Saccharomyces cerevisiae S288C: one gene and its partners. The gene in region 3 interacts genetically with the main gene of each other region. Each region holds a gene or a part of one and is shown on either strand. Other genes may lie near its edges.

Region 1 (5,923 bases), on a different chromosome or scaffold from region 3:
TTCTATGAGGTAAGCGCGGACATTTCTTCCCCGGAAATTCTGATTTTAAATCATGAGATAGTTTTTTGAAGTCGCTGTATGTTCTTGTCACATAGAAATAACCAGCATGGTGATCAAGATTACTATTCTCTTCATTGCTGTTATCTTGGTCGTCGTCATCTTGCTTCTTAATCTTAATCAAGAAATAATGATGTTTTCTAGATTGCTTGCTCTTAGTTGAAGGCACGCCAAGGGATAATTTCGAAAATAAAGATGCTGAGGATTCGGGCATACTATTTATGGTACTGTTAATAGTGTTGTTGAAGGCATTCTTCATCCATTTAGAAGTGGAAGCAAATGATTTTATAGCATGGCTTTTGGGACTCGAAGTTGGAGTAGATTTACTAGACTTGTCATTATCCACACTTTCAGTACATTTCCGTGAATTCTTATTGAACACGGATATAATATTGACGTCCCAACCGTTAATAAAAACGGATTCGTTAGTGAGCAAATTCTCTAAATTTTCTCTAGTTGGCATTGCAAATTTCTCAATATTAGAGCGTTTTCTCGCTTGGCCTGACTGTAAAACGAATTTATCCTCATTATAATACGCTTGCTCTTGAAAAGAGCCAACACCGGAGTTAAAGAGCAACAAGATAACCTTTGATAGCTTTTTGGAAACTTTCTTCCTTTTTGAAGCTTCCTCCCTGTCATAACTTTCACTAAACCCAAGACTCATGAAATGTTCAAAGAACACTTGAACCTTACTCTGCCAGAATTTTTCATCAACTAGCAAATTTGTTGAAAGTAAAGGAAATGTGGATATAAATTCTTGCAAAACATAACTCAGCATGGGATAATTAACGCTAAAATGGCCTTTGCCACCGAGCACTGGTGATGAATCGTTATTGGAGATAGGCTGTGGAGCTGTCGGATCGTTTGGTGAGAAAGGATAACCGAACTTTCTCAAAGCAAACTGATCGTTAAGCTTTCCAATTTCATAATCCAATTGACATCGAAGCAGTTCCCTCTTCAGGTAGTGTTCTTCCGTTGGATTTAAAGCAGGAGTGTCTTGAGTAATCATTTGAAGACTGTCTATTTTTGATTCTTTAGTACAATTATCTTCAACCACTGATTTCAGTACACAATTCCGACCACAAGGTAAGGTTCGTTTTTCTTTTTTTATAGAGCCCAATGCACAGTAATTGGATGTAGCTCTTAAAAAAGAATGAAAGCTAGAAAGTGATCAATTATTCGAAAAACACTTTAATACGTTCCTTGTTCACGCCTAAAAAGTTAACTGTCAAATGGTTAACGTACATTTATCTGTCTTATGAGAGGCGAAACAGGCGTAAGCATTAAAAACCCAAGGCCATCTCGTCCTTTTTCTTGTTTTTGGCGTAAAGGAGATGTTGAAAATATTAGGAAAAGTGATATAGGGAACGAAAAGAAAATAGACGCTAAGTTCAACAGGCTTCAGTATAATCTATATTACAAGCCTCTCTCGCACCACAAGGCCGGTTTATTGTACAAAGAACTCTTCTTCAGAAGCTGCTTCTCTTATACTACCTGCTCATTAGACTTTCAGGGTAAAAGGCACCAAGTGGAAAGAAAGGCAGTAGATATAGTACTTTGAATTCTTTTGACATCGCAAGGTTACTCGCATCCACTCCCTATTATTTACTCTGTTTCAACTCATTGTAACTTCATTTTCGCTAACTTCCCGCCAGACCAGCTCTTCAATCCACACTTGCCAGATAATGAATCAGTCTATTTCTTCGTTGATTAAGCTTAAATTCCTTCAATCACACAGTAACGATAAAAATGGCAACAAAAAGGGCGGAAGCAATGTTTCAACAGGCATAGATAAATTAAGAGAGTCGGAAAGTTATAGAAGTCCTTTTCTTCAACTCGCAGAAATACAGGAACACACTAATAATGACGACGATAAACTTGATGTAAAAGAATGCGAGCCCACAAAAAAACACAGCAAACTAAGCAGGATACGGCGTAAGATGGGTAGGTTAGACTTGAATTTCAGGTCAGCCAATGAAAAGGGTTCTGAAGATGATGAAATCTTGGTTGCACAACACCTCCGTAATGGACAAGATCCTGAAGAAATGCCTTTCAAATCAGAAAACAACATAGATTCGATAGAGAAAGTTCCCAAGCCCGATGGTGAGAGAGTCACGCTTACTAGCTCCGGGTCTGATAACGTAAAGAGAAATTCAAAACACGCCCCATTCATTCCTGTGAAACCTGCTCTAGAAAAATTTCCTTCTTCTAATAGATTGTCAAGAGATTACAGAAAATCACAAGAGCCTACCCTGTTTAACGGTGATAGATTAGTTCCTACTCTTCCTACTGTGAGTAGGATATCGACATCTTCTTCCGTCGGTTCCTCTACAGCGGCTTCAAGATATTTCAATCCGTCCAAAAGAGCTGTTGTTGCATCATCATCATCATCGTCGTCGTCAATAAAATTCAATTCGCTGCACGCAATACCACTTGATGCAACTCCTCAAATTGAATTGGCAAAACAACAAGATGAGATCTCCAAAAGGAGGTTCGGAAGAAGGCGCAGTAGAACTGTTGACGTATTTGACTATATTAACAAAAACAATACAGCAAAGAACAAACCGCCACTCTCTCCATCTTCTTTTATTAGGACTATTGACGAGAAAAATACAAATTCTCTTATGCAAGACCCCATGGGATCCCGCGGACCTCTTTTGCCCGATGATGCCAATATTATAAGCAATGATACAGATGGAGCGGAAGCAAGTCACCCAGACCATCAGGTTTTATCAAGGTCTCGATCTCAAAGTACGTCTTTTGTTCAAGGCAAGGGCGGCAAGAGAAAATCAATTGAAGATGAAGGCTACCATAACAAATTGGGCCTACCTCATGGATCAGGCCCTACTTCAGTTTACAACAATAAAAGCAATGCCAATTCAACTATTACTGGAATGTCAAGAAGAAGTAGCTCAATTGTGAATGCTTTAAGTAGTTTTGTTAACCTTCGCTCCTCCAGTTTATCATCCTCTAGGCAACAGCACCTTCAACAACAACAGCAGCTACAACAAAAACTGGATGTCTCGCTGGAAGATCTACCACCGGTTCCCGCGCCTGAATTTAGTGATTCTTGTAAGGACTTCTTGATTAAATTAGCGCCCTACGGAAAGTTCATTGGGATCATTTTAACGGAAAAAGATGATGAGTTCAAAAAAAATTGTTTAAACTACCTATTAACGAATTGCTTCGAATTTAAAAATGACCCTTTAGATATTGCCCTGAGGAAATTGTTGATGTTTTTAGAGCTTCCAAAGGAGACGCAGCAAATTGATAGATTGATAATGGCTTTTAGCTTTGCATACTATAAGGCCCAAAAGAGCTATTCTAAGAAAAAAGGAATTGAGTGCCCCTGGTCTAATGCAGACCAGGTGTATTTTATTGCATTTTCCTTACTAATGTTGCACACTGATTACTTTAACCCCAACAATAAAAGCAAAATGACAAAGCATGATTTCGTGGATTTAGTCCATAATGACAAATACTCAGGAGGTAATGAGATCCCTATGGCCGTTTTGACATATTTTTATGAGAATGTGACAGCCAAAGAGTCGCCGAAATTTAATTACTTTTTGATGTCACCAATGGCGTTGGACGATAGCATCCTTGATAAAGATGCATTTGACACAAATTTTGCTATCACATTATCTTCGAATTCGATGTATTCTCCCATAGACATGATAAAAAGGGGGAGTATAATACCCAAGGAAGCTTCCCTTTCCCCAATCTTTTATCCGCTAACGAATTCAATTAGTGCATCTGGTATTGCCCCATCTACGGCGGCTTCTTGCCCACCAAGTACGTCGGGTACTATAAACGGGGCCAACCTCGGAACGGCTAACAGTAATAGCAATAGACCGGCTTCTAACTCAATATCGTCTTATTTTTCATATAATCCAAGCTCTAGTTCTAGCGGAAATGCTACGTTAGTTCAAGATGACATTAACGTTTATTCGCACATTATAAATGATACATTAAATGAAGTAAATCTATTTCCAGAAGTCTCAAAATATTGGAATAAGAATGCTCTGAAGGCAAATTTGTTGAGAAATGAAGAACATAAATACGAAAAATATTATAGTATTATGAATGATACTAAAGGTGGGTATTTACGCTTTCACAAAAGTCAATTGAATAAACTGAATTTACCTAATTTTGAAATATTGAATGATAATAGCCGGTCTGGATGCAAGAACTCCGATTATAAGTATTGCAAAATCCTTCAAATGGGAGCAATAATGAATTTGGGGATGCCCAGTAGAAAATTTTCTATTGTTAACTCCGCTAAAATTCATTGGAAAAAGGAATTTGCCATATTAACATCATTGGGGCTTTTGATCTGCGATAAAATGGACTGGATAAATCCACAGATGATGAAGGACCCAAAATCAGGAACTACAAACTATATAATTGATTTTAAATCAGGATTTTCTTTTGTTCCGGGAAGTACGATTGACGTGTATAACGGTTTATTTGCTGATAGGGAGCGAGATTCACTTGGGAAATCTCATTTCGCAAGTTTGGTACTTGCGTATACAGAGCATCATTCTACTGGGAGTCATACAAGCAACACAACTGCAGCAAGTAGCTCCGCCAAACACAATGAAGGAGTCTTCGAGCCATCTTCAGATGAAGAGGATAGCATAACGAATTCTACTGATGGTACGAGCAGTGTGAGTAACGGCGAGAGTGACAACGATAGTGTTTCTAGTTCAGATAATCAACTCAGTTCAAATGACAGTAATGAAGATTATCATTCCATTAAGGACGAGTATCCGATTTTCGAAGACGAAAATGCCGATTGTCTATTATACTTACATACATGTCATCGAAATTTTATCTGGAAATGTGCTAATAAGTATGAAAGGGACAACTGGATCGATTCTATCAATCTATTTTCAGCATATGACGGATGCTATGTGGAAATTGGTAGTATAGCAAACACTATTTGTAATAAGAGAAAGCTTACCATTTTGCAGAGGATGGAAAGACTTAGGTCTATAAAATCAGCCAAATGGGAGAAATTGAAAAAATTTGAAAGCACTCTGATGCTTATGGGAAAATGTGTTCCTATTAGCACAAAGACTAAGACAGATATGATAAACCGCATAAGACAGCTGGCTGTCAGAATGGACTGGTTAATCTACGAAATTAAGAGAAGCGAGCTGTTTGTAAGTATCATAAAAGAAGTGACTCGCAAGCAGGCTGAAAAGAATATCTTAGAGCATGGTAAAGGAGAAGAGGAGGGGCAAGGCAATAACGACGATAGTGATGGTATAGATGATATAGAGGAAAGCTTCTTATTCAACGAGAACAGTTTGCAAGTGTGCGTGAGCGACAGTAGTTACGACGAATATAGTAACGAATAAGGGGAAGAAAATAGTACCATGGGTTATAAATGCATGTTATTTATTTATATATTTTTACATATTCTATATGTATGTGTTATACCTTTTTCTTTTTCTCGAAATGTCTATCCAGTCTATTGCTGCCAAGGTTTAAGATCCTAGGACAGCCATCTTTATCTTTACCTAAGCGGCAGCACTCCCAACAATAGAATGCGTCATTGACTCCAACATTTAGATTACAAATTATACAATTTTTAGCTTGTTTACCAAACGAACAGTTTTCACATACTCTAACTTTCCTTTTGGGCCTTACATAAGAGTCGCAGATAGGACATTTGCCATCACATTTTTCACAAAGAAGACCTGTCTGTACACCAGGCTGCTTTAGGCACATTATTAGATCAAACTGATGGCGGGACATGTTTTTTTTGTTGGAGGCTTGTATGTGTGTGGATCTTTTTTGTATCCATCTTCATTTTCTATGTTGAATGCCTTAGTAAGTGAGAAATATGGCAAGTAAT
Region 2 (3,602 bases), on a different chromosome or scaffold from region 3:
AAACTAACATCGTCTTACAAGAATAAGGAAAAGAGGCGGAATCCTACTCGTCACGAATATAATTCGAGGGGTAAGAGATTAAGAAAAGATTCTAATATCCCCTACGACAGCGTTTTCCTTGATATAGAAAAGAATCACGCAAAATTTACCGACTTAACCTGATTGAATTGCCACTGTTCTACCCCTATAATATTGTGAGCATGGATAAATCTCAAAAACAATGGCGTATAGATATATAACAGGTATTAAATCTTAGTATTTAAGAATTACAAGTAACATGCATTCCTATAAAAATTAAAGAGAAAAAAATTCGATTATAAAATAGTACAATGTCCAGAAGCTTGGTTTTTAATAGTATATAATAAAGATAAAGATAGATAGAGAACATAACTCTAAACTTTAAGAGTGAATTTTTTTTTTTTAGTTTAGTTTTTTTTTTTTTTTTTTTTTACAATAATGTATTGTTCTTGGAAAATAACACAATCTGTTCAAAGTGGACAGAAACCCTAAAACAAAAATAATAACGGGGAAGGAAAAAAATAGCAAGTGAAACATAAATGAAAAAAAGGAAAATTTTATTGGTTAATAAGAAACGATCGACTATGGCAAGGCCGCAGAAGAACCGGACTTGCTCAACCATTGGTCAACGACATCATCGCTTAAAGTAGCATCAAAGCTTTCGTCGACTTCGATAATGTGAATAGTTTTATCACTTGAATTAAAGATTACGGCAGCCTTTAAAGTACCATCAGTTGGTCTCTCGAAGTAATCTTGAGTACCACCATCTTGGCCGTCATGGATGTGTGAGATTAATTTATCAGAACCAGCGGTCAAAATTTCGAACAAATCCATTTCACCACAGCCAGTTTTCCAACAAGAACAAGATGCATCACCATATTGCAAGGTTCTTGGGATTTTTGCATTTAATAACCAAATAGCTGGCATATCTTGATTGTAGGCAGAACCGCTGGTGTCACTTGGCATAGAAAATTCGAAGACGAAAATTTTATCAGCCCCACCAAACCCATGATAAGCAGGAATGCCTTCTCTGTAATAACCACAATCGCCGTTATTACCGGAACATTCTTCACCGGAGAAAATCATGAATTCATTACCAGATTTAATGGTGACATCACCAAGAGCTTGAGCGGAGGCAGCACCAGAAACACCATCTGAAGCAGCAAAAGAGATGGAGTTACCGAAACAACTCGACCAGACACCAGAACCGGCAGTCCCCCCTTGGTTGTTCATGAATGTACAGTTGCTAGTAGAGCCTGGGACAAAGTAGGAACCTCTGGACCAGTCACCGTTAGTGTTAGAAGATGATGACGAAGATGATGAAGCAGCAGCAGCAGAAGAGGTGGTTTTAGAGGAAGAGATGGAAGACTGGCTTTCACTCGTTTCAACTGCTTGAGCACTGCTGGACAAAACAGTAGAGTCTTTAGTGTAAGAAGAAGGAACAGCAGGACCGACAACGGTATTGGTGGAATCGGCTGTGACTGTTTGACCATTACTGTCGACGTAAACAGTGGAAGTAACTTGAACATATTCAACAGCAACATCCCTCTTGTGCTGATGCTTATGTCTGGAGACAACAGCTTCACCTTCCTTACAGGACTCGATTGATTGTTTCTCTGATCTTTTCTTCAAAGCATTAGATTCACCATTTGGGTAGTAAACACCAAATTGTAGTAACTCGATCGGACCCCTGAAATGAACAGATAGTTCCTCGTTGAAGGGAGCCAAGCTACCAGAAGCAGTGAAATCAGCTTGGGTACAAGCACAAGAAGATTCATCCATATTGGTGACATCTTGGTAGGTAGCAGATAAACCGACGTTAGAGTAAATGATGGCATCGGTTTGAGCACAATAGTAATTACCGCCAGAGTAAGTACAATCAGCGTTCACGAGTGACACAACTGAAGAAAACAAACCGACTAATGCGGTCATGGAAAGCTTTTGTAACATTTTTTTCGTTCAAATTCCGTTAGGTTTTAGATATTTTATGGGGTGTAAATGGAAAAACGAAAAGGTGAGAAAAAGACGTTCTATTGAAGGAGTGACTAGAAGTTGGATAAGTTAGGTTGGTTTGAGTTTTGATTCTGGAGTCTTCTTGCGAGAAAAGAAATAATTATAATATAAAAAAAAATTGAATGGAGATAAGAAGTTTAACTAGCAAAGTTCGAGAGATATAAAAAGTAGAGATGCGAAAATAAAATTAAAACAAATCTGAAAATAATGGAAGTGAAACAAGGCTAAGCAAGAAAATTTTCTATATTGCCAAGACAGGAACGTTTGTGATGAATCACATCTGCATTCGTGGTATATTTAAATGAAAATCCCAAGTTTCGAATTTTCACGTTTGCTGTACGACGAAAAAGCGTGGAAAAATAAACAAAACCAGCACTAAATCGCCAACGAAAAAGGAAAGTCGCCAACGCGAAAAGAAAAGAAAAAGCGAGGCGCAGATCTCGTGGTATGTGATATCGTGTCTAATGACTTGACGTGGCTTTTTTTCTTGTCGCCATCTGCGCTTACTTGCGTTATATCAAATATAATTTCAGCACAGCATTACATGCAGAAATAGCAGGGTGCAGAGGTCGAAGTAGATAGAGGACAACACCTGCGATGGCCGTACAGACACCAAGACAAAGACTGGCTAATGCCAAGTTTAACAAGAATAACGAAAAGTATAGAAAATACGGTAAGAAGAAGGAGGGCAAAACTGAGAAAACCGCACCTGTGATATCCAAAACTTGGTTGGGTATTCTTCTGTTTCTTCTCGTAGGTGGTGGTGTTTTGCAACTAATCAGCTATATCCTATGAAGCAGTGGCAAATTGCATATATAAGTGTACAGTGGAAGCAAGTACGTAAATAAATAAGCGATTTCGAATAATAATAACAACAAGCATAAGGCAGTATTACCCGCGTTGTCATTTATGGATGCGAAAAAAGATGAAGTAATTCAAGTGCTATTGTGATTTACCATGCCAATCAAACGTGCAACAAAGATGAGTATGAGGGGGGACCCAGGCATAGTACACAGAAAAGCTTTGTAGACTGTCTTTGTTTTCTTAATTTTTCAAGTAGGCTTTCTGCTTTTCTTCTGTACTTATCGTATGCTGGGCCGGGCACTAATCAACAAGTATGGATTTTTAATTCATCCTAGGAGATTTGTACATTTAAACGATAAGTCCCTTGATGGAACATTTATACTACCTTCGAAGAAAAATCATATGTATGATGTTCCAACTAATGATCCAAGCGGTATCCTGAATGCCTCGGATATCGATAGAATCAATAATTTGCCATTTTTCGATAACACCAGTCCGACAAAAGAGACAAATACTAAGGAAGGAGCATTGTTGAGCGAAAAATTGGCCAGCGTTAAAGAATTATTTGGAGAAGACCCTGAAAATCCTTCGTTTATCAATTACAGATTCCCCAGAGGTTTAGAGAATCCCTATTTTGACATTCAAGTAAATCAGCTAAAGAAAAAACGATTATCCGTCACACAATTATGCACTACGCAGAATTGGTGCGAGTTAAGGAATTTTTACGACTTTTATTCTCAAAATTTGTCTAACCAACTACTGAACTT
Region 3 (3,378 bases):
TGGATGATTCCTTACCACTACAAGATATCTTGAAACCTGATATACCATTAAGGAATATGCTGTTGAGATTGAGACAATCGGGAAAGATTGATAAATTGTGGCTTTTCACCAACGCTTATAAAAACCACGCAATACGTTGCCTGAGATTGTTGGGTATAGCGGATTTATTTGATGGATTGACATATTGTGACTACTCTAGGACAGATACGCTGGTCTGCAAACCACATGTTAAAGCATTTGAAAAAGCCATGAAGGAAAGCGGGTTGGCAAGATACGAGAATGCTTATTTTATAGATGACAGTGGGAAAAACATCGAGACAGGTATCAAATTGGGCATGAAAACATGTATTCATTTAGTTGAGAATGAAGTAAATGAAATTTTGGGGCAAACACCAGAAGGCGCTATTGTCATTAGTGATATATTGGAGTTACCACACGTTGTGTCCGACCTGTTCTAAGGTATATCAATTTTAAGTATAATTGTATATAAATCTACTTGCATTAGATGCCTCTATAAAATAAAATAAACCAAAAAAAAAAAATAAATTGCACCCCCCGTAAGTTCTCATTTACGTAAAGGTTGGGCTTGTTGCTTCTTTTGTTTGGCAACAGCATAAATAATACCTGATAGGAAACCAATAAAAATGGAGAGAATAGATAAGAAGTTTCTTGGAGCATCAAAGAAAATCAAACCAGACAAGGCAATTGGCAGCTTGTTCAAAGCCCCTACCATCGAATATGTAGTAGACGAAGTAACACGAACACACCAACCGGAACAGTAAGAAATACCGACGGATGCAACACCACTGATGATCATAGCAGTTAGCGAATCGTTAGAAAAGTTATTGGTCAAATTAACTGAAGACCAATCTTCCACACAGAAAGAAAACAGCAATAGAATAGGTAGAGCCAAAACATTGTTGTAAAACATAGTGTCGAAATCCTTGAAGTTAGTTAACTTAATTCTCTTTCTCATTATAAGAACGAATAATGCAGAAGTGATACAGTTGGTGAACATCCAGAAATAACCTGGGTTAAAGGAGGCAACAGCACCGGCTGCTCCTTCAGCCAATGAAGCAGCCTTGGCAGCCACAGCTTGCTGGTCACCCCAAGTTGCAACGACAGAAGAAAGGACCATCAACAAAAATGATGACAATTCCATGGAGGTGACAGAGCCACCAAAAAAGAGAACCTCACCATAAGCAATCAAGATAATAGTCAAATTCTTGAAAATGGTGTAAATTGGAACAGCCAAGTATTGTAAAGCCTTCGAAGAGGTGTAGATCATCAAGACCAGTAAAAAGGAAATAGGGAACCAGTTCTTGGCGTCTGTTTTGTTTAATGAACGGAACTTCGCATAGCCCAGTATACGTAGGATAATCAAGGTTATAGTACAAACCAAAGATTGCACGAAAAGCATGACAAAGTTCATGTTGAAATCCTTCAAATTGACGACGAACTTGTTAGTCACCGTCATTAAAATAGAGGAACCACAGTAGGATAAAATAGAGATCGGACCGGAATTGGCAACTGAAGCCCAAGGGTTATGGCCTGCATGACCTGTTTTCAATTCAGACATTCGGGCGAAAGATACTGTGTGGTTAGTGTGTTTGTTTTCTTAGGCTCTTTTGGTAATTAAGAGGATGTCAACAATTAATCGGCAACAAGAAATAGGCTTGGCAGCGTTATATATATTCTGTTTTTCTGTTCATTGTTTGTTCGGATCGCGAAATTTCAATTTTTTTCTTTCTTTTTTTTTTTTTCGGCCAAAACTATTATCCAAGGCTGGGTAAGAGGATTCTGAAAAACCCGTTTAGCTTTTCGTATATTGCGATTCATTACGCGTTTAGGCGACGTGTCTTCTTTCGTCAACTGTGATATTTTTCGTGTTATGGGCGGCTAATTCTTTATAAAAAGGGAAATTTAATCATTATGGCAAACTCAAATGGTGTTCCTACATCTATATACCACCATGCCACTTTGTACCACCAGTCATATATTTTCTTCTACTCATAAGGGAGCCGCATATATATATGGCGCACATTGCCATGGTCCATTACAAGCTTTTTTCTCGTAGCACTTTAGAATGTCTATTGAGTTGCAATATTCAGGCAAAAATGCGTTCTATCTTCAGAATGTAGCTGTTGAAATTGTTGTTTGACTTTTTTTGGACTAGTAGCCGTCTTATCGAACCAAATAGAAGCATATGTTACCTCATTATTCTCTCAATATGGTATTGGAGCGGGTGTGGGTGTGTTCCTTTTGTTCTTAAACGATAGGTACGCATTAAACACCGCTTATGCAGATGGTACATCATATACTGCTTATACCCTTTCCTACTTCAGATGAATATGCAAAACATGTACCGCAATGATGCGAGAGTAACTTTAACAAGAGCTCTTTCGCGTGTGTAGCGATAATATTCAGGGGCGACAAGTGTAGTAATGAAGATATAGTTCTCACCGGTACCTAGATGTCACTACTCGGACACCAGATTACTGTAGCAAGCAAGGTCAATGTCGAGACTAAGCATGATCATAAGTATTGGCGCCCGACATTGCATTTTTTTCCTTGAGATCATATCACAGTGCATGCCATCACAAATAGTTACTTTGATTATTTCAGTGCCATCGCATGACTTCAGTTTTATTACACCTTTAATGATGTAAAAGCGCCGTCAAGATACTAATATAGACGCACGAGTTTCGTTCGCGCGTCTTGGTGAGATTGAAAAGTTATTTTGCCTTTCTTGTCGAGATGATGGTATTTCCCTTTTTTATTTAACATTCATTAATTCCTACCTGTAGTTATCAACCTTTACAGCAACGCAAGTGAAGTGGCTTACTATATAAGCGTAACTCCAATGTGCTTGGTTAGTTTTGGAAAATTTCAAGGCGTTGTTGCAGAATTGTACCTTTAAACATGTCTACAACAACTATGTGGATGTAGCATCTCTATCATGACGCAAACGCAAACATCTCTCTCTCTCTCTCTCTCTAAGTCGCATGTTAAGGCCGATAGTACTGGTTTAACAGGGTTTGCCAAGGCCTCAATCGTTAAGTTAGCTTCTCCACTTTCCCCAGCATCAATCTTATGGTATGATCAACAATCTACGAGGAATTGCAGAAATGATACCTGTATCACAAAGGAATTTGCGTATCATAGCGTCAACTGGAACCATGGATGGAGCTGAGAATTTATTCCTCATAAACGAATTCAAGTTTCTTTCGCTCTGCCAACACAAAAATTTCAATTTCTGTCCTACTTATGTCCTATGAGAGCCATAATTTACACCTCACGTACATAGTTGCGGTAATATGATAAGTACACTTTTTCTGTGCTTCATTATCGTAGCGATAGGTATACCACTCATCGTAA
Region 4 (3,863 bases), on a different chromosome or scaffold from region 3:
ACCAAAGTTACCTCTGCCAATACATGATTGGATGGAATATAGCTTCGATGGAGGGGTTCTTGACCTAATTGATATTTCTTTGCTTTCCATTTTGTGCTATTTTCTTTTGTTGTTTAGTAAATGAATTAGCTAGTAAAAAAACTAAATTTAAAAAGCAAATGCTGGTTTGCTTTCTTTTGAGAAATGTTTGCTAAGACAACTGACTAGCCAGGTGTTCACTAAATCGATAATATTGAAAATGGCAAAATAAGAAAAAAAAAGAAGAGAATTAGCTGGCTTTTTTTGGATAGGAAATATTAAATGAAGCAGTTGGAACCAAGATAATAAACAAAAACAGTATATTAAGTGACTCTTTAGTATATATCTGAACTAACAAGTAAAATATCGATGTTAGAAATGGTTACAATAGAAGAAAGTAGTGTCATTCTTTCGCGTCAAAAAAAAAAAATGGAATTTGTGTCTTTTTCGTTTTTATGTGTCATTTTTTTTTATCCCTGATGCCGCATTGTTCCGAACCTGGGACAGCTCCGAAATATAACTTGAGGAAAAAGTATTAGAAAAGGGAAAAAAATACAGTTAAATTATCATATATGTTATTTTTTGTCCTTTTTGGCCAATTTTAAAGACTTATGCATTGTTAATAAGTTTGTTGGGGACATCAAATTTTGAGAAGACTTAGGAATGGAGCTCAAACTCCACCTTTTACTTGCTGAGGCACTTCTTTCAGGTATGTTAACTCTCAAATCGTGTTTCTTATTGTAGGACGAAGCTGAATCTACATTTGAATGCATATTTAAATGCGGCCCTGATCTTGGACGAGAAGTATTTACAGCTTGGAATGTTCCGTACATCTCCAACTTAGTTTCCCAATATTCTAAAACCTTTGGAGACCAATTCGTAGTAATCTTCGGTAAATTATCTATATGAATACCATTGCACAATAAAAATTCTGTAATAAAAAAAATGGGCGTTCCATCAACAATTTCATAGTGCTTTAGGGAATATTGAAAAATGGAAGAATGGTTTAGATCATTCTGCTCTTTTTCGCTTGCCGTCAATTCTCTTAGGGAATATTTACTTTGGGCGATGGCTCTTTGCATCATGAAAACACTATCTAAATGGATAGCTTTAATTAAAGACTTCAAAGAAGCCTCTCTGCCTTGGTTGCTGTCGATAACAAACTTTTTAAATTGATACTTATCAATAATGAATTTGGATCTTTCCGAGTCATCAGAATTTGCAGTTATTTTTTTAACTGGAAAGTTCCTGAGATTGCTTTCATAAATGGCATTAACATTACTATTGGAAACATTATTTTGTAAAAGATGCATCAACTCTAACGAGGTGAAATTATCCAGCGTTAAAGATCTAATTTTGGAGATATGTGAACCCAGAGATCGATGAACGCCCGAACATTTGATACACAATATACACAATAAATTGATTGACACCCATTCTACTGTTGCGGTGCTACCGCAGTCACAACACTTCAAATTAGATTTATCAATTTTGCGCACGATTGATAGCAGTTCGTCTCTATTGGAGGCTCCCGCATTAGCAAAAGAGAAATGCTGTGTATGCTGTTTGGAGGAATCTGTTTTTGTAGGAATACGGTTATTACTATTACTGTTGCTACTGCTACTATGAATGGGATGAGTTTGATGATTGATGTGATGAGAATGCGTAGATTTGTGTTGGCTCCCACTAAGACGGGTTGATAAATATGTAAATGACAGTTGGGGTGAACGAAATGGAAATCCTGATGGTAAAGAAGGAGGTATTTGTAGTAATATCAATGATTCTTTCGCGGCCATTAATAAAGCGATGCTTTTTAAAATAACACAATATACCTCAAAACCTCGATCATCCTCGCAGCGGTTCGTTTGAAATTTACATCGAAGAGATTTAAGAAGAATATTAGTTAACTTTAACGCGTTGTTGCACCATGATGGATACTGTGCTTTTGATGCTGTTCTTGCTACTGTTCCTTTACTGAACAAAGGCACAACATTTTTGTTGATATCAGTAGTATAAAAATCCATTATTGATGGAACATCCAGAAAAATGTATTCAAAATGACTGGTACAGCTACCTTAACCACTCTGCCTCAATGTGATTTTTATCCTCTTTTTCGCTCAAATTTTTACTTTTCTTCTCTCTTCGTCAAGTACTATTATAACGACAGCGATAGGAAAAAAAACCAACATCGGACGAGAATAAATAATACTTTAGCGTTCAAAATGACATTCCTTTAAAATTCGATATGAAATTTTCCGCGATTAATTCGCCGAGAATACGACAAAAAAAAAGATAAACATCAGAAAATTCTATTATTAGATTAGATTTTATATTAGATAATGAATTAATACAGGTAATAATTATAGAGAGGAAATAAAAATAAACAGATAAGTTATTTACATCTTCTAACTAATATTCCATTACAAGTGAACGAACATGAAAAGATCATATAAAACCCTTCCAACATATTTTTTTTCCTTCTTTGGTCCCTTCAAGGAAAGAGCGGTCTTTCTTCTTGTTCTATAATAATATTATTAAAAAAGCACATAAAAACTTGATTGTGTAGCGATAATAAAAAAATTTTTTCGATATTATAGGAGTATAATGTCTCTAAACTCAAAATTAAAGAACTTAGAATAAGAAAGCGACACCGGCAGCGACGGCAGCACCGAAGACACCAGCACCCAAAGCGTTGGAAGCAGCAGCACCAGTGGAGATCTTGGTGCTGGTGGTGTTGGAACCGTTGGTACGGTTGGAACCATTGGTAGAAACGTTAGCAGCTTGGACAGCGGCAACAGTAGCGAAGGCAGCGACGATGGTCTTGAATTGCATTGTTTTGTTGATGATTAGTGTTGATTGAAACTTATGTTTAATGATGATTTTCCTCTAAAATCAAAAACAATATTAACTAATAAAGTAAATAATACAGTAGGAGAAGATGGAAAAGAAAATCAAGAATTTCTCGAGTTCCTTATATATGAGGAGAAAAGCCAGGAAAACCACCGCGATGACACACAGCACCATATCTCATGTAACAAACGTGAAAAAAGCGATGATTTTTTTTCTGCTTTCTTTTTCTCATTTCTCAAGCGGATATTCCGCTTGCAAAAAGAAAAGGCGTGGCTCTGGTCTTCGCTATTTTGGAAATAAACTTTGGCGTCCTACGCCCAGAAGCGGCCAAAGCGGCCAATCACGCCCGAAGACGGGACCGCACGGCTCCCAACGAGTCGTTTTTTTGGAACTGAAAAAGGCCCAACGTTGGGCCTAGGCCCTTACCGCGCCCATTTCGGAAACTGCATTACTTTTTCGGGACGTATTCTCGGGAAATAAGCAGGTCCAGATCCGCGTAGCATGAATGGGGCGCCAAAACAGTCGCGGGTAACGAAAGAGCGCAACCACGCGTATATTCCGGGCCGGTGAGGGGCAACGCGCATTGTCCCGGGGCGATATAATCCATGTACCGGAACCCGCACTTTTTCGACTTTCTTTCCCCTTTTCCTGTCTCCTATTGTGCGAGAAAGGTTTGATTGACAAGAGATCTTTACTGATCGATCTTAGTTAGTCCTCGAATAAGCATTTTGCAAGTACCAGTCATCGTATTAGAGAACATACAACTTTAGAATTACACTATGCACGCCCGCGACTGGTTTTTAGTTTTTATTGCAATTTTCATTCCTCCCTTAGCAGTCTGGCTAAAAAGAGGTTTTTTTACCAAGGATCTGCTCATTAACTTTCTGTTATTTTTACTAGGGTTTTTCCCTGGTCTGATCCATGCTTTGTACGTGATCAGCTGTCATCCATATGAGGAGAACGAGGCCCGGTACTCACACCTCTCCTCCTCGGAT

What was found.
Region 1: mutations in VRG4 (region 3) and SYT1 together harm fitness less than expected from each alone (positive genetic interaction), as found in Saccharomyces cerevisiae (one large-scale study listed by BioGRID).
Region 2: mutations in VRG4 (region 3) and TOS1 together harm fitness more than expected from each alone (negative genetic interaction), as found in Saccharomyces cerevisiae (one large-scale study listed by BioGRID).
Region 4: mutations in VRG4 (region 3) and AGE1 together harm fitness more than expected from each alone (negative genetic interaction), as found in Saccharomyces cerevisiae (one large-scale study listed by BioGRID).

The regions. Positions count from the first base shown.
Region 1 is NC_001148.4:720,537-726,459, reverse strand, and holds SYT1 (Arf family guanine nucleotide exchange factor SYT1), read left to right. Parts: upstream 1-1,742; coding exon 1,743-5,423; downstream 5,424-5,923. Other genes in the region: LEC1 (Lec1p), read right to left, coding at 1-1,066; YPR096C (uncharacterized protein), read left to right, coding at 1,316-1,618; U2 snRNP complex subunit RDS3, read right to left, coding at 5,500-5,823. UniProt on the Saccharomyces cerevisiae protein: Guanine nucleotide exchange factor for Arf GTPases, stimulating the nucleotide exchange from the GDP-bound to the GTP-bound form. Catalyzes both the GDP release by and the GTP binding to ARF2. Has no exchange activity on Rab GTPases.
Region 2 is NC_001134.8:562,603-566,204, forward strand, and holds TOS1 (Tos1p), read right to left. Parts: upstream 1,969-3,602; coding exon 601-1,968; downstream 1-600. Other genes in the region: mannosylinositol phosphorylceramide synthase catalytic subunit CSH1, read left to right, coding at 1-162; YSY6 (Ysy6p), read left to right, coding at 2,629-2,826; EXO5 (Exo5p), read left to right, coding at 3,121-3,602. UniProt on the Saccharomyces cerevisiae protein: Probable circularly permuted 1,3-beta-glucanase involved in cell wall modification through beta-1,3-glucan network alterations such as increased branching or remodeling.
Region 3 is NC_001139.9:75,095-78,472, reverse strand, and holds VRG4 (GDP-mannose transporter), read right to left. Parts: upstream 1,580-3,378; coding exon 566-1,579; downstream 1-565. Other genes in the region: SDT1 (nucleotidase), read left to right, coding at 1-458. UniProt on the Saccharomyces cerevisiae protein: Involved in the import of GDP-mannose from the cytoplasm into the Golgi lumen. Defective copy causes severe glycosylation defect and abnormal retention of soluble endoplasmic reticulum proteins. Involved in vanadate sensitivity.
Region 4 is NC_001136.10:1,486,949-1,490,811, forward strand, and holds AGE1 (GTPase-activating protein AGE1), read right to left. Parts: upstream 2,043-3,863; coding exon 594-2,042; downstream 1-593. Other genes in the region: putative serine/threonine protein kinase SPS1, read right to left, coding at 1-90; YDR524W-C (uncharacterized protein), read left to right, coding at 2,455-2,544; YDR524C-B (uncharacterized protein), read right to left, coding at 2,650-2,850; API2 (Api2p), read left to right, coding at 2,957-3,286; SNA2 (Sna2p), read left to right, coding at 3,648-3,863. UniProt on the Saccharomyces cerevisiae protein: GTPase-activating protein (GAP) for the ADP ribosylation factors ARF1 and ARF2. May be involved in the endocytic pathway.